Linked DNA regions of Oryctolagus cuniculus. The protein of the gene in region 1 binds, or shares a complex with, the protein of each later gene. Links are inferred from orthologs where the notes say so. Each region holds a gene or a part of one and is shown on either strand. Other genes may lie near its edges.

Region 1 (3,558 bases):
AAGATTCGCGCCCTCTTTACTTTCCCTCTAATCTCAGTTCCTTGTGGGATCCTCTCTGGAGACCAGAGTGTAAGATCGCTGTGGAATAACAAGCACGCAGCCCTCGCTACCCTAGCTTCTTTCTCTCACGGTGGGCCCAGAGCTGTGGCTAGGTCTCTGTTGGGACGGGGTCTCTGCCGTGCTCACATGATCATACCTTGGGGCCTTCCCGGCGAATTGGTTCACAAGATTTTGGCTTCCATCTGCTTGGAAGGAAGAAGGAAAGGTGAATTCTCCAAGGTGAGCACGAGAACTGGAGGAAAGCTCACTGGTGACAGTGAGGGTTCCTCACGCCGTCACGTTAGGCCTGGGTTCACTTCTTCCTGGCGACCGTTAGTGGAGGTACAAAGGAGAAAAAGCTCTGGACCAGGAGCCACTCCAGTGCTAGCTCTGCTGCCACACAGTGCCACAGGCAAGGCCTGCATTTCCAGGTACAGCTTTCTCTGTCAAAAGGAGCCAAGAGCAACAACTCCCTCCCTTTCCTGCTTTTACAAGATACAAAATTGCTTTAGGTAGGAGACAAATTTAAAGTATGGAGAGAGTAATACAATTCCATCTCCTAGGCTGGTAGCTCCATTTTAACTAGATCAGTGTGGCTTTATCCGCTTGATATAACAGACTTCCATGTAAAGTTCTGTTTGGAAAAAAAGATTCTGCAGCTTTCAAAATCTTTGATGATGGTCAGGGGTAGGGGAACGGGAGGGAGGAACAGGCAGAGGACAGTAAAATATGCTGTATGATCCTACAAGGGTGGACACATATCATCATGCACTTACCCAAACTCACGGAATGCACACAACCAACAGTGAAGCCCGAGGTCAGCTGTGGCCTCGGGGGCACAGGGAGAGTCAGAGTGGGCTCCTGACTTGTAACAGATGTCGGACATGGATACAGGGGGAGGCTGTGCATGTGCAGAGGCAAGGGATAAATGGGAAATCTCTGTAACTTTCCATTTTGCTGTGAACCTAAAACTGCTCTAAGGAGTGAAGTCTTTAAAAGAAATCTTTGAAAATAACCACCCTGTGACAATGTAGTCGTTTTGCTTCCAATTAACTGCATGGGTGTGAGTAATTAATTCTCCATTTTCTTATCTGCAAAATTATAAAATGATACCTTTAGAGGGCGGCTGTAAGGATGAAAAGGCAAGTATAAACGGGATTTCGATCGCTCAGGTCAGTTATGGGCATTCAATGTACACTAACAGTGAAACCACTCTGGGGTTTAATCAGGTTGGGCCAAAGTGTTCAGGGGCAGAAACAGGATCAAACAACTTCCTTCTCAGTGTCCCACCCCCCACGCGACTCAAACACACGCGTCCCATTTCACCAGGGAAGAGCTCTGGCCTCTTCCCTCCGGGCCACTCCCGCCCTCTGCTCCCTGTGGCTTGCACCACGCCGTTGGCCTCTACTCACACCATGCCGCCAGCTGCCCGGTCATTTGACAGGATGTGTCCGGGAGGCCGTCCTTTCCTCTGCCACAAAGAACAGTTGTCAGTGGCCTGATCCCGTGGGAAGCCCCACCCTACCGCAGGTCAAGGACCACTCGGTAGAGATGGTTTTCCTCAGAGATCGAGCGATGCTTGAAGGGGGCGGGAAAGCGAGTTTCTGGGCTTCTGCCTCTCGTGCCTAGAAAGGCCCGGAGGTGCACCGAGGAAGCCCAGCCCCATCACCTGGAGCCGGGGACCCCTTCCCGGCCGAAATGAGATGAAAAGTGGCTTACCTTTTTGGGAATGGGGCTTCCTCGATGGGCACACTCCTCCTCTGTCTGCCGGCCACGCTGGAGGAAAAGGGAAGGCAGTCGGTGGAAAGCCAGGACCTGGCTGCAGGCCCCCTGATGGGGGCCCACCAGACTCCCTGACCCAGGCCCCGGAAGCCCACCCAGCAGCCCTACAAATGGTGTGGAGGAGGAGAGGCGAAACCTCCCTGGGCCCACACATTTCACCTGCCTCCTGTTCAGGGACCCCAAGACACAGTGACTGACCTTTATCCCTGGAAGCTCATGGGTCAATCTGGGTACCACTTTTTCTCCATCTGAAAACAGCAGTTTAGCCTGAAGGGAAAAGAGGAAGTGGTGACGGTCACTCTTCTGGGAGGTAAGCATACTCTGCTTCCACTTTTTTTTTTTTAGATTTTGTTTATTTGCGAGGTAGAATTATAGACAGAGAGAGGGAGAGACAGAGAGAAAGGTCTTCCGTCTGCTGGTTCACTCCCCAAATGGCTGAAATGGCCAGAGCTGAGCCCATCTGAAGCCAGGAGCCAGGAGCTTCCTCCAGGTCTTCCACGTGGGTGCAGGGGCCCAAGGACTTGGGCCATCTGCTACTGCTTTCCCAGGCCACAGCAGAGAGCTGGATCGGAAGAGGAGCAGCCAGGACTAGAACTGGTGCCCATGTGATGCCGGTGCCGGAGGTGGAGGATTAACCTACTGTGCCGCAGCGCCGGCCCCTGCTTCCACTTTTAGAGATGGGACTGCACACTGGATGAGACTTTTTTGGCATTGCCTTTCCCTTGTGCACATTTCTTTCTTTCTTTCTTTTTTTTTTTTTTAATTATTTGAAAGGCAGAGTTACAGAAAGAGCAAAATGTTTTATCATGGGCAAGCCAGGCAGTGCAAAGAATTATACTATAAATCAGCTCTTTCGATTTTGATTTGTCCCTGCCTTGTACTGATTGACAGTTTCTTCCCCAAGATTGAGCTTAAAAACTCCACTACCACCAGCCCTTCGGTCTTCCTTGGAACCCCCTCCTGGCTGCTCGGCAGGAGGTTTCCAACTTGAGCAACTCTTACTTTCCTTTCAGAAAACAAAACGAAACAGATTGATTGATTTGAAAGGTGGAGTTATATATAGAGAGATGGAGAGACAGAGAGAGATCTTCCGTCTGCTGATTCACTCCCCAAATGGCTGTACTTGTTGGGGCTGTGTCAGGCCGAAGCCAGGAACTCAGAACTCCATCTGGGTCTCCCAAGTGGGCGCAAGGGCCCAAGTATTTGGGCCTTTTTCTGCTATTTTCCCAGGCACATTAGCAGGGAGCTGAATCAAAAGTGGAGTAGCTGGAGCTTGAATTGGCGCCCATATAGGATACCAGCACTACAGGTCAGCTACTCCAATTCTGATCCACCTTCCTGCAAATGCGCCTGGGAAGGCAGTGGATCAGGCCCAAGAATTTAGTTTCCTGGCACCCACGTGGGAGATCCAGATGAAGTTCCTGGCTCCTGTCTTTGGCCTGGCCCAGTCCTGGCTGTTTTAGGTATTTGGAGAGTAAACCAGCAGATGAATGATCTCTCTCTCTCTCTCTCCACCAGTTGGTCTGCACTTCAAATACATACATACATACATACATACATACATACATAAATTAAAAAAAAAAGCTAAGGAAGATTAGGGAACAACTCCACTGAGATGGTCAAGATATGGGACAGGGACAGGAGTGTGGCCCAACAGGTTCAGCTGCACGTAGGATGCCCGCATGAGGAGAGCGCCACTCTCTGGTCATTCTGCTTCCAGCTCAGCAGACTGGGAGG
Region 2 (4,116 bases), on another chromosome or scaffold:
TTCCAGTCCTGGCTGCTCCACTTCCAATTCAGCTCCCTGCTAATGTGCCTGGAAAAGCAGCAGTGCATCGCCCAAGTGCTTGAACCCTGCACCCACGTGGGAGACCTGGAAGAAGCTCCTGGCTCCAGCCCAGTCCCTCCCTTATGGCCATTTGGGGAGTGAACCAGCAGATGGAACATCTCTGGCTGTCTCTGCCTCTCTTAATCTCTCTGTAACTTTGCCTTTCAACAACAACAACAAAAATTTTAAAAAGACTATTAAACCGGTGCGCTGTTACCAGTTAATGCGCAGCTTTTATATTAGCCACGCCCTTCCTCCAAACCCGCCCTCCACCAGCACGCTCCCACATGCAAGCATACACACGTACGCGCGCACATGCACGTACACACACGCGCGCTCACAGGAGCCTGTTGCAACACACACGGCCGTGCAGTCCGCTCGGAGAATGCGGCTTTTCTCCACACTGGGCAGAGCTACCCCTGGGGAGTTTCCGAGGAGCAATCCAAATGACTTAGGAACGCTGCAGTCCGCGCCCCTCTAGACGCCTCTTTCCTTCAGAGGCATCCGAGGAGAAACTGACAAGGTTGGGAATGGAGGGAAAAAGTAGTCCAGTTACTGTCAACTAGCCAGTGATTCTACCCCAGGAAGCGACCTGCTTTTTGCACCTAAGAATGAAACACTGAAGGAACGAACAAGGATTTAGAAAAGGCATTTTTGAGTAGGATCTGTCACTGTCAAGAAGTAGGCATTTCCTTCCTAGCAGTCGTCCCGTTAATTTGCTGCAAGAAAGAGGTGTTTAGGCAAGCAGAGGTGTTAGCTGCAGGACCTCAAAGACCTGGAAAGCGCCAGCTGACTGAATTCTCCTTGGTTTGGTTTCCCTCAAAAGCATAGTTCACCAAAAACGGTTTTACCACACACGCAGAACGGCCCCGAAACTTTTTTTTTTTTTTTTTTGCACGCTCACTTACTCCCCCACCCGCCTTTATGCTTCCCCTCAGAGTCGGCTGACTTCCTCTGAACACCAACCCCGCGAAATTCCAGGAGCTAAACACCACCCAACTTCCAGGGAGACACAGGAGACTAGAATAAACAGCGTAATCCACAACCACACACTCCTGTTTTCCCTGTGCTTTGGAAAAAAAATCGGCCCGCTGTGGCGCGATGCATGCTGGGATGTGTAGTTCATCCAGTTTACTGGACGCCAGATTAGGGCGAAACTCAGGACGACTTCGCAGTAGGGAACTACAATTCCCGTGGTAACTCGCGGCAGAGTGGAAGGGGCGGAAGGGGGGGGGTGCGTCGTGCTTGCGCAGGTCCAGGGGCCGAAGGGAGGCGGAGGCGCCGCGGTCCAAGTGTTGAAGTCTCCATGTGACAGTAATCGGGGTCCCAGGTCCCTGTGCTGCCCCACTCTTGAGTCTTAACCCCCAGCACTGTCCACTCTCCGGCGCCAACGGTAATCGCCAGGCTGGGGACATTGCGTGTTTGGCCGGGCCATCGCCGAACTTGGGGTGCAGAGTGAATTGCCGCCGCCGGATCGTGTGCCCGAGGGACCTGGCGGAGAGAGGCGGAGCGGCGAGACTAGCGGGGATTTCTGTCGGCGCCGGCGCCTCGGAGCGCGGAGACATGAACGGCTTCACGCCTGAGGAGATGAGCCGCGGTGGGGACGCAGCCGCCGCGGTGGCCGCCGTGGTCGCTGCAGCGGCCGCCGCCGCCTCGGCTGGAAATGGGAACGGGGCGAGCGCTGGGGCTGAGGTGCCAGGAGGCGGCGCGGTCTCCGCGGCTGGGCCCCCGGGAGCCGCTGGCCCGGGCCCCGGGCAACTCTGCTGTTTGCGGGAGGACGGTGAGCGGTGCGGCCGGGCGGCAGGCAACGCCAGCTTCAGCAAGAGGATCCAGAAGAGCATCTCCCAGAAGAAGGTGAAGATCGAGCTGGATAAGAGCGTAAGTGACGGCGGGACCGCCCCTGTGGGGCTCCAGCAGCTGGGCAAAGACACGGGTTGTTGGCAAGGTTCAGCCCCCACCCCCACCCCCACCCCCACCCCCGACCTGGCTGCAGTGCGGACTTGCGAAGTCTTAGCTCGGGAGCAAACAACAAAGTCACTGCAACTCCGACCGCCACCCCCAACACGCAAAAACACACGCTGCGGTGCCCCTCCTCCTCCTCCTCTCCCCACCCCCCGACCTCCCGCTGCATGCGTCTCTCCCGCGCAGTCCTCCCTCTTCCTCCTCTGCTGCAATCGGGAATCGAAACAAAGGGGCAGGTCGCACGGAGCACCCGGAGTAGTTTTCTTGCAGCCCGGCAACCCCTTCTTGGAATGGAGGAGCCTTTGTTGTGCTGCCCGAGCTGGCGTGTGGCCCCAGGGTGAAGTAGCTGCCCTACTCTGGGGAAAGTGGAGTCCAATCGGACCTTACACCCAGGAAGGTCCTTGGTCCGGAACACAGAGCGAGATCCCCCCACCCTGCCGCCTCGCGCGGCGCAGGGGCTGTACACCGTGTTTGCAGTGTCAGCTGCTCCGCAGCTACTCTGAACGTGGGAGCACGTAGCCTCTGCGGTCTTGCCATTCGCTTGGCAGCCATCAGGATTCCGTTTTCTGTTCTTTTGACCGACTGGGAGGGTTTTAGAAACACCCATTGCTACTTTTCGGAGTTCTGGCTGGCAATCAATGAATACCAAGCTGTCAGAACCTAGCGCGCGTCCTGCATGTTTTTAACTGAGGCTTAGCTTGAAAATTGTCAAGCCTGTTAGCTCAGCCCTTTTTTTTTTTTTTAAGGAATTAGCTGTCAAAATATGAAGCCCAGTATTTCCGTGTCGCTATACAATTCTCATGAAAATATGTAATTAAAGCTTTTGAAAAGTTTATTGTGACATTTTCTGCCTGTTTTAAACAGCTCTTTAGTGGTATTCGTGAGAAACTTTTCAGGTGAATTTGAATAATTTCAGATTACTTTGTATCACATACAAATACATTGATTTAATACTTAGAAAAATTTATAATTGAAATTTAAATATAGGATAAAAATTAATAGCTAGTTTGGAAAATGTTGTGCCTGTAATATGATTTGGGTAGTAAATTAGATTGGAAAGCATGCATGGTACTACTTAAGTTTGCTCTTTAAGCGGAAAATACTATCAGGTAACAGAATTGTGGTCAACATCATCTTCTCCCTTGCCAGTTAAAAATCCAGCCTGAAATAACTAATTCAGGTCAACCTTTGCAATTTGATGACAAAACCCAGAGGACTGGAATTTCTCATTCTCCTTTTTCTGCCTCTGTCCCTCCCCCAAGTGGCACTACACTCTTCCTCCTCCCACTCCGCTCTGTATTGCCAGACATCTGGTTTAACAAGGCCTAGGATTTAAGACTAGAAACATACTCTTGTCTTACCAATGGCTTGTTTTGACTGTTTTCAATAATTCCCTGTGGCCTATGTGTGTATTAATGCACAGAAACATTTTACTGTAAAATAAGCAGTCTGTGAACTCTTTCTGTTTCAGGCAAGGCATCTTTACATTTGTGATTATCATAAAAATTTAATTCAGAGTGTTCGAAACAGAAGAAAGAGAAAAGGCAGTGATGATGATGGAGGTGATTCACCTGTTCAAGATATTGACACGCCAGAGGTAGATGAAAATTTTTGTATGTTTAATGTAACTCCTAAGTAGTTCATTCTGAAATTTTTATAAAAACATTTGAGGAAATTTTTTAAACATTTAAAACATTTGAGAAATCTGGAAATGAAAGCAAAGTTAAATATACCCAGTTAATAAAAGTTATACAGTTTGAATTATTATATTTTCAGTTGACAACTATTAGAATTTTATTCATATATATAATATATAATACCACCACCAGTTTATAGTATTTATCCCAGAAAGATTAAAGTGTTTATATATAAACCATGGAGTTAAGTTTGTATTGTGCTGAAGTTGAAATTTTGTTCTTGAACCTATCAGTGGTAAATTTTAAAAAAACAGTATGGACTAATTCATATGTGTAAATTTTTTTCTAGGTTGATTTATACCAATTACAAGTAAATACGCTTAGGAGATACAAAAGACACTTCAAGCTACCAACCAGACCAGGACTTAATAAAGCACAGCTTGTTGAGGTATATATG
Region 3 (4,209 bases), on another chromosome or scaffold:
CCAGCTCCTGACTCCGGCTTCCCACTAACGCAGATCCTGGGGGGGCAGCGGGTCCCTGCCAGCCACGTGGGAGACCTGAATGCTGCACTCCTGGCTTCGGCCCAGTCCCACCCTGGCCGTGCAGACATCTGGGCTGTGAAACAATGGGTGCGTGCTCTCTGCCAGTCTCTGGGTCTTGAAAAGCTATGGGGATGTTTGTCTGACCCAGGCATGGCTTCTCTCAGCACTAGAGCGCAAACTCAACAAAAACACAAGCTTTATCAGGGCCTCCGTGAGGGCACAGTAAGCCCTGGTGGAGTCCCTGCTCCACCACCGATCCAGCTCCCTGCTAATGCTTCCAGGAAGACAGAGGAAGATGGCCAAGGGCGTGGACCTCTGCCGACCACGTGGGAGACCCGGATGCAGGGCCAGGCTCCTGTGGCCATCTGGGGAGTGAACCAGTGGGCGGAAGCTCTCAGCCTCTCCCTTTCTCTTTGTCACTCTCCCTTTCAAATAAGTAAGTCAATCTTAAACGTTGAGGTCTTCTTACAAGGCACGCATTTCCCTCGGATAACACTACAGTGTTTGGCACATTACAGAGACACGTGACCATCCCTGTCACCTAGCTTTAGAAAATTCCCGCCACCATCGCCCCCCGGAAGACCCCTCGCACCCCCAGGCAACCTGCTAATTTGCTCTAAGTCCCCACCCATGTTCAAGTTCTCAGGCACGACCCCTTTTCCCCCAAGCTCAGCCGCTGGGGTTCAAGCTCCGGGGCCCGGTCAGCAGCCCCTCCCCCGGGGCCCAAAACCGGCAGAGCTCAAGTCCCCGCCACATGCTCCCGCCCCGGAGAAGGGCAGGACTCCGTGCCTCCCGCGACCCCTGCCTGGGGCACACGAGCCGCAGCTTTCCCGGGTGGGGGGGTGGGGGGGCACGGCAACCCTCCCCGTGCGGCCTCCCCAGGCGGAAAAGCACCAGGCCACCGCCACTGCGTTCTAACGCCGCCCTCCAGGAACAATGGCCGCAGCCGAAGGTCCCCGGCCTCGTCGTACGGGTCGTAGGGCGCCGGCCCCTCCCCCACCTCCCCCGCAACCCCTTCCCCGTCTCCTTCACACTCTCCAGCCTCAACCGATTCCCCGCTCCCAAAATGGCGACCAACCGCCTCCTTTCCCGCCCGCGGCGGGTCACCTGACCTTGGCAACGCCCCGCCCCCTCGCGCGGCCCCGCCCCTCGCGCGAGCCGCCGAGTCTGCGCGGGCGGGCGTGCGGCACGCGCCGGCAGCCAGGGCGACGCGAGGCCGGCGCGAGGCGGCTGGAGGCGGCCCGCAGCCACGCCCGCGCGCTTGCGCCGCGGGGGAGCGGGGCGCTCCGGGGGCGACCGGGGCTGCGCGTGCGCGCCGGGCGGCCGGGCGGCGCGGGGACGCTGGGAGCCCCGCGAGGCACGAGGCGCGAGGCGCGAGGCCCGGCGCGCGAGCCCCCGGGGGCGGGTAAAACCCGGTTGCTGCTGCCCCTGCCCCCTCCCCTTCCTTCCTGCCCCCCTTTCTTGCCCCTTCCTCTTATTTCACCCCCCTCCTCCTCTGACACCCGCCCTCGTTCCTGTGTTTCCTTTTTAGGGGGCCCGTCTCCCTCTCGAGGGGCGCAGCAGGCGCGGCGGGCGCCCCGTAGCCCGCGTCACGCACGCACCTTCTGCACCCCAACAGCTCCCGGCCCCGCTGCACCCCCGCAGCGCCTCGCCTCTTGGAGGAGCCTCCTTGGGGGCCCCGGGGCCCGCTGCACCCCCCTTTCCCTTCCTTCCCCGCCCCCGAGGCCCCAACTGCCCCCCGCAGGCCCCCCAGCTCGCGCGCGGGCCCTACCCGACCTCCGCACTTTCTGCACCTCGGCCTTGCAGCCGCTGTCCCCCCTGTCCAGGCCCCTTCTGCTGAAAGCCCCTGGCTCCCCAGCAGCCCCCTCCGCTGTAGGGGACCCAGCTGGGTCTCGCTTTAGAATCTTCCAGCAAAACCAAAACGCTCTGGGGGGTCTGCCTTTGGCTGTGCCCCTCCCCCACGCCTCGTAGGAATTTTCCCTGGCCAAGGAAAAATCGTATTTATATCCAAGCTTGACCCCGCCCGTCCATTTAGGATCACTTTCCAGCAAAAGCGATTTTTTTTTTTTTATCAGCTAGAGATTCCCCCTGGGGAACATCTTTCCACTTAAACAGCCCCGTACTTCCAGCCTCTCTCTCTCCTTTAATATTTTATTTTTCCAACACTCTCCCTCCCTGCCCCCCAAAAAAGTTTCCAAAAAAATCCCTTTTCGCCACCAGTTTCACCTCTCCCGCCCCCCGCCCCCCCCCCCAATTTGGCTTCTCCCAACAAAACCAAGTCCCATCCCCCTGGGGGAACAATAAGGAAACAAATAATAATTTCCTCTTCCTTGCGCCGCCTCCCAGACAGCCCCAGCTCGGTGTTGCTTTCTTGCTTCTTCGGAACATTGACCTTCTCCCCCTCCACCCCCCGGTTTCACCTCTGCGGCCTTGTCTCTTTGGGGACCCAAGTTCTGATTGGGCCTCCCTCTCCACCCCGTGTTTTTAGGGCAGTAGAAATTGGATGAGTGTCCTGACATGACCACCCGGCTTCTGAGGCAGTAGCCAGTGCTCTGACAGCCACCTGCACCCCCTCCCTGTAGGGCCCGAGTTGGACCCCGCCGCTCCCGGGAGATTGCCTCATTCCTCTCCTGGTGAGTTTCCTCCCTTTGGGCTTGCCCAAAGACACCCACCTCTCACACGAATTGGAGGCCCCATGCAAGGTGCTGCTTTGGGAAGTCGGATAAGGAGAAGGGTTTTTGATCCACATGTTGACCTCTGGGGAATGCAAACTTGACTGCATTGATTATATCTCATTGTTGTTTCCAAAAAAAAAAAAAAGGTTTTTCCTTCTCTGGCTCAGGTAGCAAACCAGATACTTAGAGGGTGGGAAGGTAGAGGATGGTAGTAGTAGGTTTTGTGGTGAACTGAAGATCAGGTGCCCCATCTGGTTGACGCCAATGTGAAGGTAGCCACGTGGAAATACCAGGCCGGCATTGGCAGAGTTTTGATTTTTTTTTTTTTTTTGGGAGGAGAATCCAGAAAATGATGTGAACTTTTCTAATTTTTGTTTTAGTGTCTTTAAAAAGAACCTGTATTTATCCAATACACCTGGTTGTAATGTGAACCACATATTTAGTTATCTAAGAATGGAATACCAGTTTGGAGTTTGGGGTTAAGGATTCTTTGTTGTGTTAAATTTCACCCGCTTAGGCACATGCGTACATGCAAGATGTGTCTCCTTGAAGCAGTGCTTCTCAAACTTTGGCTCTGAAGACCCCTAAGGCTTAAAAAAATCATTGAGGATCCCAGAGAATTTTTGTTTACGTGAACTATACCTACCGGTATTTACTGTGGTAGAGGTGTAAACTAATAAACTCTCAAGGCATTTATTAACTGATTTAAAGTAGCAATCATAAACCCATTACGTACAAATGTAACTGATATTTTTATTAAAAAAAAAACATTTTGGAAAAGCCCGTTGAGAAGGACAGCAGTGATTTCCCTCTAACGTGATCTGGACTCTTCGATCTGCTTCTGCTTCCTGGTGCCATCCTCTGGGAAGCGTCACTGGGAACGCAAGAGGCAGGAACCGTCGGAGTATTCTTACGAAGGGCTGTTGACCTCACCCACTCCCTGGACGGCTCCTGAGAGTCCTGAGGAGTCCCCATTCCACCTCACTGTGAAGATTACTGTTGTAGATGTTAATACTTATTCGCATTCTCTGTAAAAGTAAGAAACTCCCCCCCCCCCCACTTAACCTCTGGGTCAGTTAGTATCCTTCTGTTTAGTCTATGTCTTCCTTTTCCCCAATATAAGCTTTAATTCCACTCTTTTAATGAGCATCAGAGGAGCTGAATTGGTTAATTCATCTAATTCTGGTTGAAATTATACGTTGGGGGCAGTGTTTGGCCTAAGACGCCCAGCATCCTATGCTGGAGGGCCTGGGTTTGGGTCCCAGCTCTGCTCTCAATCCCAGATTCCTGCTTTTGTGCACAGGGAGGCTGTAAGAGTTTGGGTTCCTGCCACCCACACTGGAGACCTGTGTTGAGTTTCTTGCTCCTGACTTTGGCCTGGCCCATCCCCTGCTGTCGTGGGTATTTGGGGTATGAACCAGTAGGTGGGAGTTCTCTGTCTCCCTCAAATAAAATAAAATGAAGTAAATAAATA
Region 4 (4,324 bases), on another chromosome or scaffold:
TCTCTCCTCCTTGGCTGCCTTAAGCACAATGCACCAAGGAATCACTTCTGTCTCCTCCCTCTCCCCACCACGGTGTGCTGTCACAAAAACGTCAGCGCTTTCTAATTGCTGGACCTAATCATGCATTTATTTCTCAAAGCCGTGTTATTTTTCTTACATCACACATTTTGTCTTCATAATGTGCCATCAGTGTCCGGGAGAAGTGAGAGCCAGCACACGTGGAGGATTTCCCGTTGCTAGGGGAGGCTGGCTCTCATTCCCAAATCTCTGGGTCAATCTGCAGCTTCCCAGGAGGTCTGAAGAAGCAGACCTGGGGATCGGTTTCCAGATGTCATTTTCCCGCCCATGTAACACCCACCTTTCCTTGACAAAGCCTGCACTCTTGTCTACAGTTTGCTGTGCTGTAGCAAAAAAAAAAAAAAAAAAAAAAAAAAAAAAAAAAAAAAAAGGAGAGATTTCATCTGGGCAATGCGCTGGCAGAAGCAGCATTTGGGAAAAAGGGAAAATTGTGGAGCCCTCGCTGAGGCTTTTGAACCACCTTTTAAAGGTCCCTGTTTTCCACGACAGGCTACAAGGCGGCTAATGTTTCTGTTACGAAAGCCCTCCGCTGCAGTTTCCAATGCGTGCTTTCAAAACAAAACAACCGACACAGCAAAAGGCTAGCCCCATTTTCTTCCCAGCTTTCCGGGATCCGGAATTCTTCCTTGAGCACCGCCGATTAACTAAGCGCTAGCTACTTACAGAAACCCAAAAGGTGGCCCTTTGTTGTAATTTTCAACTCTGAGAGCAAAGGCATTTCGGGCCTGCACACATTTCAGAATGGCTACGGCCTGAAACTCCACTTCCCAGGACTCCACCCTCCCTGCGAACCCACTTTCGGCCGGCGCTGAAACCGGGAAGGCATCAGGCCCGAGCGCGGGGTCCTCCCGGGGCTGAGCGCCCAGAAGAGCAGGAACTCGCGGCGGGGGGGGCGGGGGGGGCGGGAGGCGGGACGCACGCGGCTTTGCAGCTCCAAGAGGTCCCCCGAAGCGCGGTGCGCGGTAGGCGCCCTGCGCCCTCAGTCCCTGGGGAGCCTGTGCAGGGGAGGCAGGGGCTGGAGACCCGCGTGTGAAGGCCCTGTTCTGGCAGGAGCCCGGAAAACTCGGCAGGAACCGCGTCCTCACGGGATTTCTGGCCCCAATACCAAACAACAACTTTTTTTCTTCTCTCTCCCCCCACCCCTTTGTGTGTGCTTTTCCTGGAACTCTGGCTGCCCTGGGCTCCCCCGAGCTAAGCCCCCGGGGCTCCTAACACCACCTTCCGGACCCGCCGGAGAGCAGGGCTCAGCGCGGCGCCTCCGACCGACCGCACTTCCCCACCGGCGCGGGGGTGCAGCCCGGTCGCGGGCTCCCGCAGCGGAGGGCGCGGCCAGCCCAGAGCCGGCGCCGGGGGCCCTGGGCGCGGAGCCGGGGGCGCGGGCGCGGGCGCGGGCGGGGCGGGCGGCTGCAGGGCCCCGCGCGCCGCCGCGCGAGCTGCTGGGTCACAGCCGGGCCGCGCCGCCCGCTCGGCTAGGAAGTGACGACTGAGCCGTCCCGACAGCAACAAAGTTTGAGCCTGCGGGCCGCGCTCTGCTGCGCCCCGCGGCCCTCCGAGCCACCCCACCGCGGATCCAGCGCACAGGTGAGCCACGAGCTCTGCGCCCCTCGTCGCGCCGCCGGGGTCTCGGGCTTGGCCGTGCGGGTGGGGGATGTGGCGGGCCGGGCCGGGCCGGGCGCTGCAGGGGAGTCGCGCGGCGGCGCGGGTCGGGGGCCGCCGGCTGCGCCCCTGTGTCGCCGCTGGTCCTACCGCGGGACCTAAAGCAGCCCAGGGGCTGCAGCAGGGCTCGCTCCGGGCGCGGCTTGCGAGGGGAGCGGTGCGGGGAAGGGGCTTCCCGGGGCCTAGGTCTGGAGCGATTCTCGGCGCCGTGCCCCGCTCCCCGCAGGCTGGACGCAGCCGCCCCCCGGCCCCCGCCTGGTGCTTCCTCTCCGCAGCCCTCCGCGAGCTCGCGGGAAGGAAGTTGAAGGAACTTTCCCCCCACTTTTATTTGCTCGGCCCTCCTGTGTCGCGGAGCGGAGCAACTCAGAAGTTTGGGAAAAACAACCCGAGGCGCTTCGAGAAAACAGAACCCTAGCCGCCCTCGCACGCCCACCGCTTAACCCCCTCCAAGCCCCCTCCACCCGGCCCCCTCCCCCACCCCGGCCCGGAGCCGACCGTAATGGCTAAGGCCTAACACTTTGCAATGTAGCCATAAAAACTGTCAGCGCGCCCACGTACAGATGGGAGTGTTTTCTATATAAAACTCGGAGAGCCGCTTGCACCGGACTCCGTGGCATCGCGTGCGTGCGTACGTGTGTGTGTGTGTGTGTGTTTCCTAAAACTGTGGGGCTGCAGGGCTGTGCCGGGTAGTTCCCGCCGCCCTGGGGGAGCCTCGTGGCGCAGCTGGGAAGTTCGTGACATCCCTGCAGAGCGAGCCCGGGCTGGCGGGCCGCGCGCCCTGGCCTGGACGCCGCGGTGGCGGCGGCGACTGCCCAGCCACGTCGGTGTGCGCTGGAATTGTGCGTCGGAGCCTGGAGACTCCGGGATGGGCTGTCTGGAGGCAGAATGGTGCAGTTGCTAGCAGCAGCTTCCTGCCGGCCTGTAATTACGGCGTGATTGCACAGTCGGGCATTGTTGGCGTGGATGTTTATACACAGGCTGTTGTGCAAGACGTTAGTGGTGGCGAACGAAACGCAGCTTTGCGTTGCCAATGTCCAGGACAGATCTGGGCCCAGGCTGCAGGCTCCAAGTTCTCTATGCCTTCTTAGCGAGGTGTTTGATTTCCTTGCTTCTGTCCTCCACCTTTGACAGCCTGCTGAACGCCTCCGGACGGCAGGATCCCACCACTCTTTCCTACCTTGGGTAGCGTGAACACTGACCCAGGAACTGTACCCTTATTTGTGTCCGGAGAAAAACGTGGGGTGACGTCAGCAGGAAAAGGAGCTAGGAGATGGGTGTTACCCTCCCTCAACCGGAAAGCTGTGTGAATGAGCAAAAATGCAGGGGTGTCTGCAACGGGGCCTCCTAAAGAGAGCTCGCAGACCCTGTGGGACCGAGCTGGCCGGCTAAACTTCAACCCTTGAAGTTATCATCTGCAGAAACTCCGTGGGCGGGTCCTAACTCCGTGTATTCTTGGCTGCGGCTTTGAGACTCTGTGACGGTGTCTGGGGCAGGGGCAAGGCTGGCGAGGAAGTGACTCATGGACATTTTCTCCAGAGGAGCCCCTGGGCCAGCTTCCTGAGCAAGGCGTGCAGCATGGCCAGTGCTGTGGGCCCTCACGTGCCCTGCAGGAAGGGAGCCCAGCTCTTCCTGAGGGCTTCCTGGGCAGCTGCCTGTGGTAGAGGGGTTTACAACTCAATTGGGAAGTGCGAGCGGGGCTTGCGCAGGGCCATCCTCCCCACGTCCCCCACGCTCAGTGTGCTCTCGCCCTGTCCTAGGCAGACAAACTCGCAGGGCAGCGCTCGGCCCTGCCAGGTAGCTTGGTGACCCAGTGGCACCGCCCTACAGCTGTGCACAGGCAGCCTGTGTGCTCAGAGCGGCAGGCACGCCGGGGCTCCTCCATGCCTGCCCTGCTCTCCAACCACACACCCAGGCTTCATCTGGGTGGCAGACGCTGTTTTGCAGCCCTGTGCCAGCTGCTTGTTACTGACACAGCGACCATTTATCAGATCCCAACATTAAGGCACAGTACCTAGCAGGTACCCATGCGTCTCCAAAGACTCGTGGACAAGCATACGATGAGGACAGTCGGGAGCGAGGTTGAGGACAGAAGCACCCGGGCAGTAGGGGTCAGCACAGCTTGCACAGCCCCCTGCCTTGAGGACATTCGGGTCATTACTGAACTTGACCCTCAAGGCCCTGGCTAGCTGCTTCACCTGGCCAGGACTGCTTGAGCAAGGGCCTTCTGGAGCCCGCACTAGTGTTGAGTGGCAGGAGAGGGGTGCGTCGTCTTCTATGCCCAAAGCAAAGGGAGCTATGAGTTGCAATCCTTTTTGTCCACATAGAGCTTACAGAGTCTGAAGGTGCCCAGAGACCGCTGGCGCGTGGCTGGGAGAGCGATGAGGAGCGGCCCCTTGCCAAAGCCGGGGAAGGAAGCAAGCCGAGCTCCTGTGGAGTTAGGGAGCAGTCACCACCCGCATCTTCAGTTCAGCCTGGCAGATGGCTACGTGCACTCGGGCCCTTTCCCTGGCTGGCAAGGCTGAGCCTCTGCACTCCGAGCTTGCCCTGCAGTCCAGTTGAAGACCAGAGGCTTCATCCTGACTTCCTCGCC

Evidence for each region.
Region 2: DNTTIP1 (region 1) and SAP30 share a complex: the UniProt entries of both Homo sapiens proteins name them as parts of the histone deacetylase complex. The link is inferred for Oryctolagus cuniculus from reciprocal best matches to the Homo sapiens genes DNTTIP1 and SAP30.
Region 3: DNTTIP1 (region 1) and ZNF541 share a complex: the UniProt entries of both Homo sapiens proteins name them as parts of the histone deacetylase complex. The link is inferred for Oryctolagus cuniculus from reciprocal best matches to the Homo sapiens genes DNTTIP1 and ZNF541.
Region 4: the proteins of DNTTIP1 (region 1) and MIDEAS are in contact, whole or in part, in a cryo-EM structure (PDB 6Z2J), measured with the Homo sapiens proteins. The link is inferred for Oryctolagus cuniculus from reciprocal best matches to the Homo sapiens genes DNTTIP1 and MIDEAS. Residues at the interface, in NP_443183.1 of Homo sapiens: Pro63, Ser66, Leu69, Leu70, Ala72, Val73, Leu74, Pro76, Ser77; in NP_001036783.1 of Homo sapiens: Gln768, Asp771, Leu772, Thr774, Ala775, Ser778, Ser779, Ile802, Leu803, Leu806.

Annotation. Positions count from the first base shown.
Region 1 is NC_091442.1:13,590,823-13,594,380, forward strand, and holds part of DNTTIP1 (deoxynucleotidyltransferase terminal-interacting protein 1), read right to left. Parts: intron 2,089-3,558; coding exon 2,020-2,088; intron 1,816-2,019; coding exon 1,759-1,815; intron 1,511-1,758; coding exon 1,452-1,510; intron 246-1,451; coding exon 197-245; intron 1-196. UniProt on the Homo sapiens protein: Increases DNTT terminal deoxynucleotidyltransferase activity (in vitro). Also acts as a transcriptional regulator, binding to the consensus sequence 5'-GNTGCATG-3' following an AT-tract.
Region 2 is NC_091433.1:55,750,116-55,754,231, forward strand, and holds the start of SAP30 (histone deacetylase complex subunit SAP30), read left to right. Parts: upstream 1-1,285; 5' UTR 1,286-1,623; coding exon 1,624-1,938; intron 1,939-3,493; coding exon 3,494-3,619; intron 3,620-4,008; coding exon 4,009-4,107; intron 4,108-4,116. UniProt on the Homo sapiens protein: Involved in the functional recruitment of the Sin3-histone deacetylase complex (HDAC) to a specific subset of N-CoR corepressor complexes. Capable of transcription repression by N-CoR.
Region 3 is NC_091449.1:10,086,288-10,090,496, forward strand, and holds the start of ZNF541 (zinc finger protein 541), read left to right. Parts: upstream 1-1,358; 5' UTR 1,359-1,465; intron 1,466-2,548; 5' UTR 2,549-2,693; intron 2,694-4,209. UniProt on the Homo sapiens protein: Transcription regulator which is essential for male fertility and for the completion of meiotic prophase in spermatocytes.
Region 4 is NC_091451.1:19,957,765-19,962,088, reverse strand, and holds the start of MIDEAS (mitotic deacetylase-associated SANT domain protein), read left to right. Parts: upstream 1-1,481; 5' UTR 1,482-1,659; intron 1,660-4,324.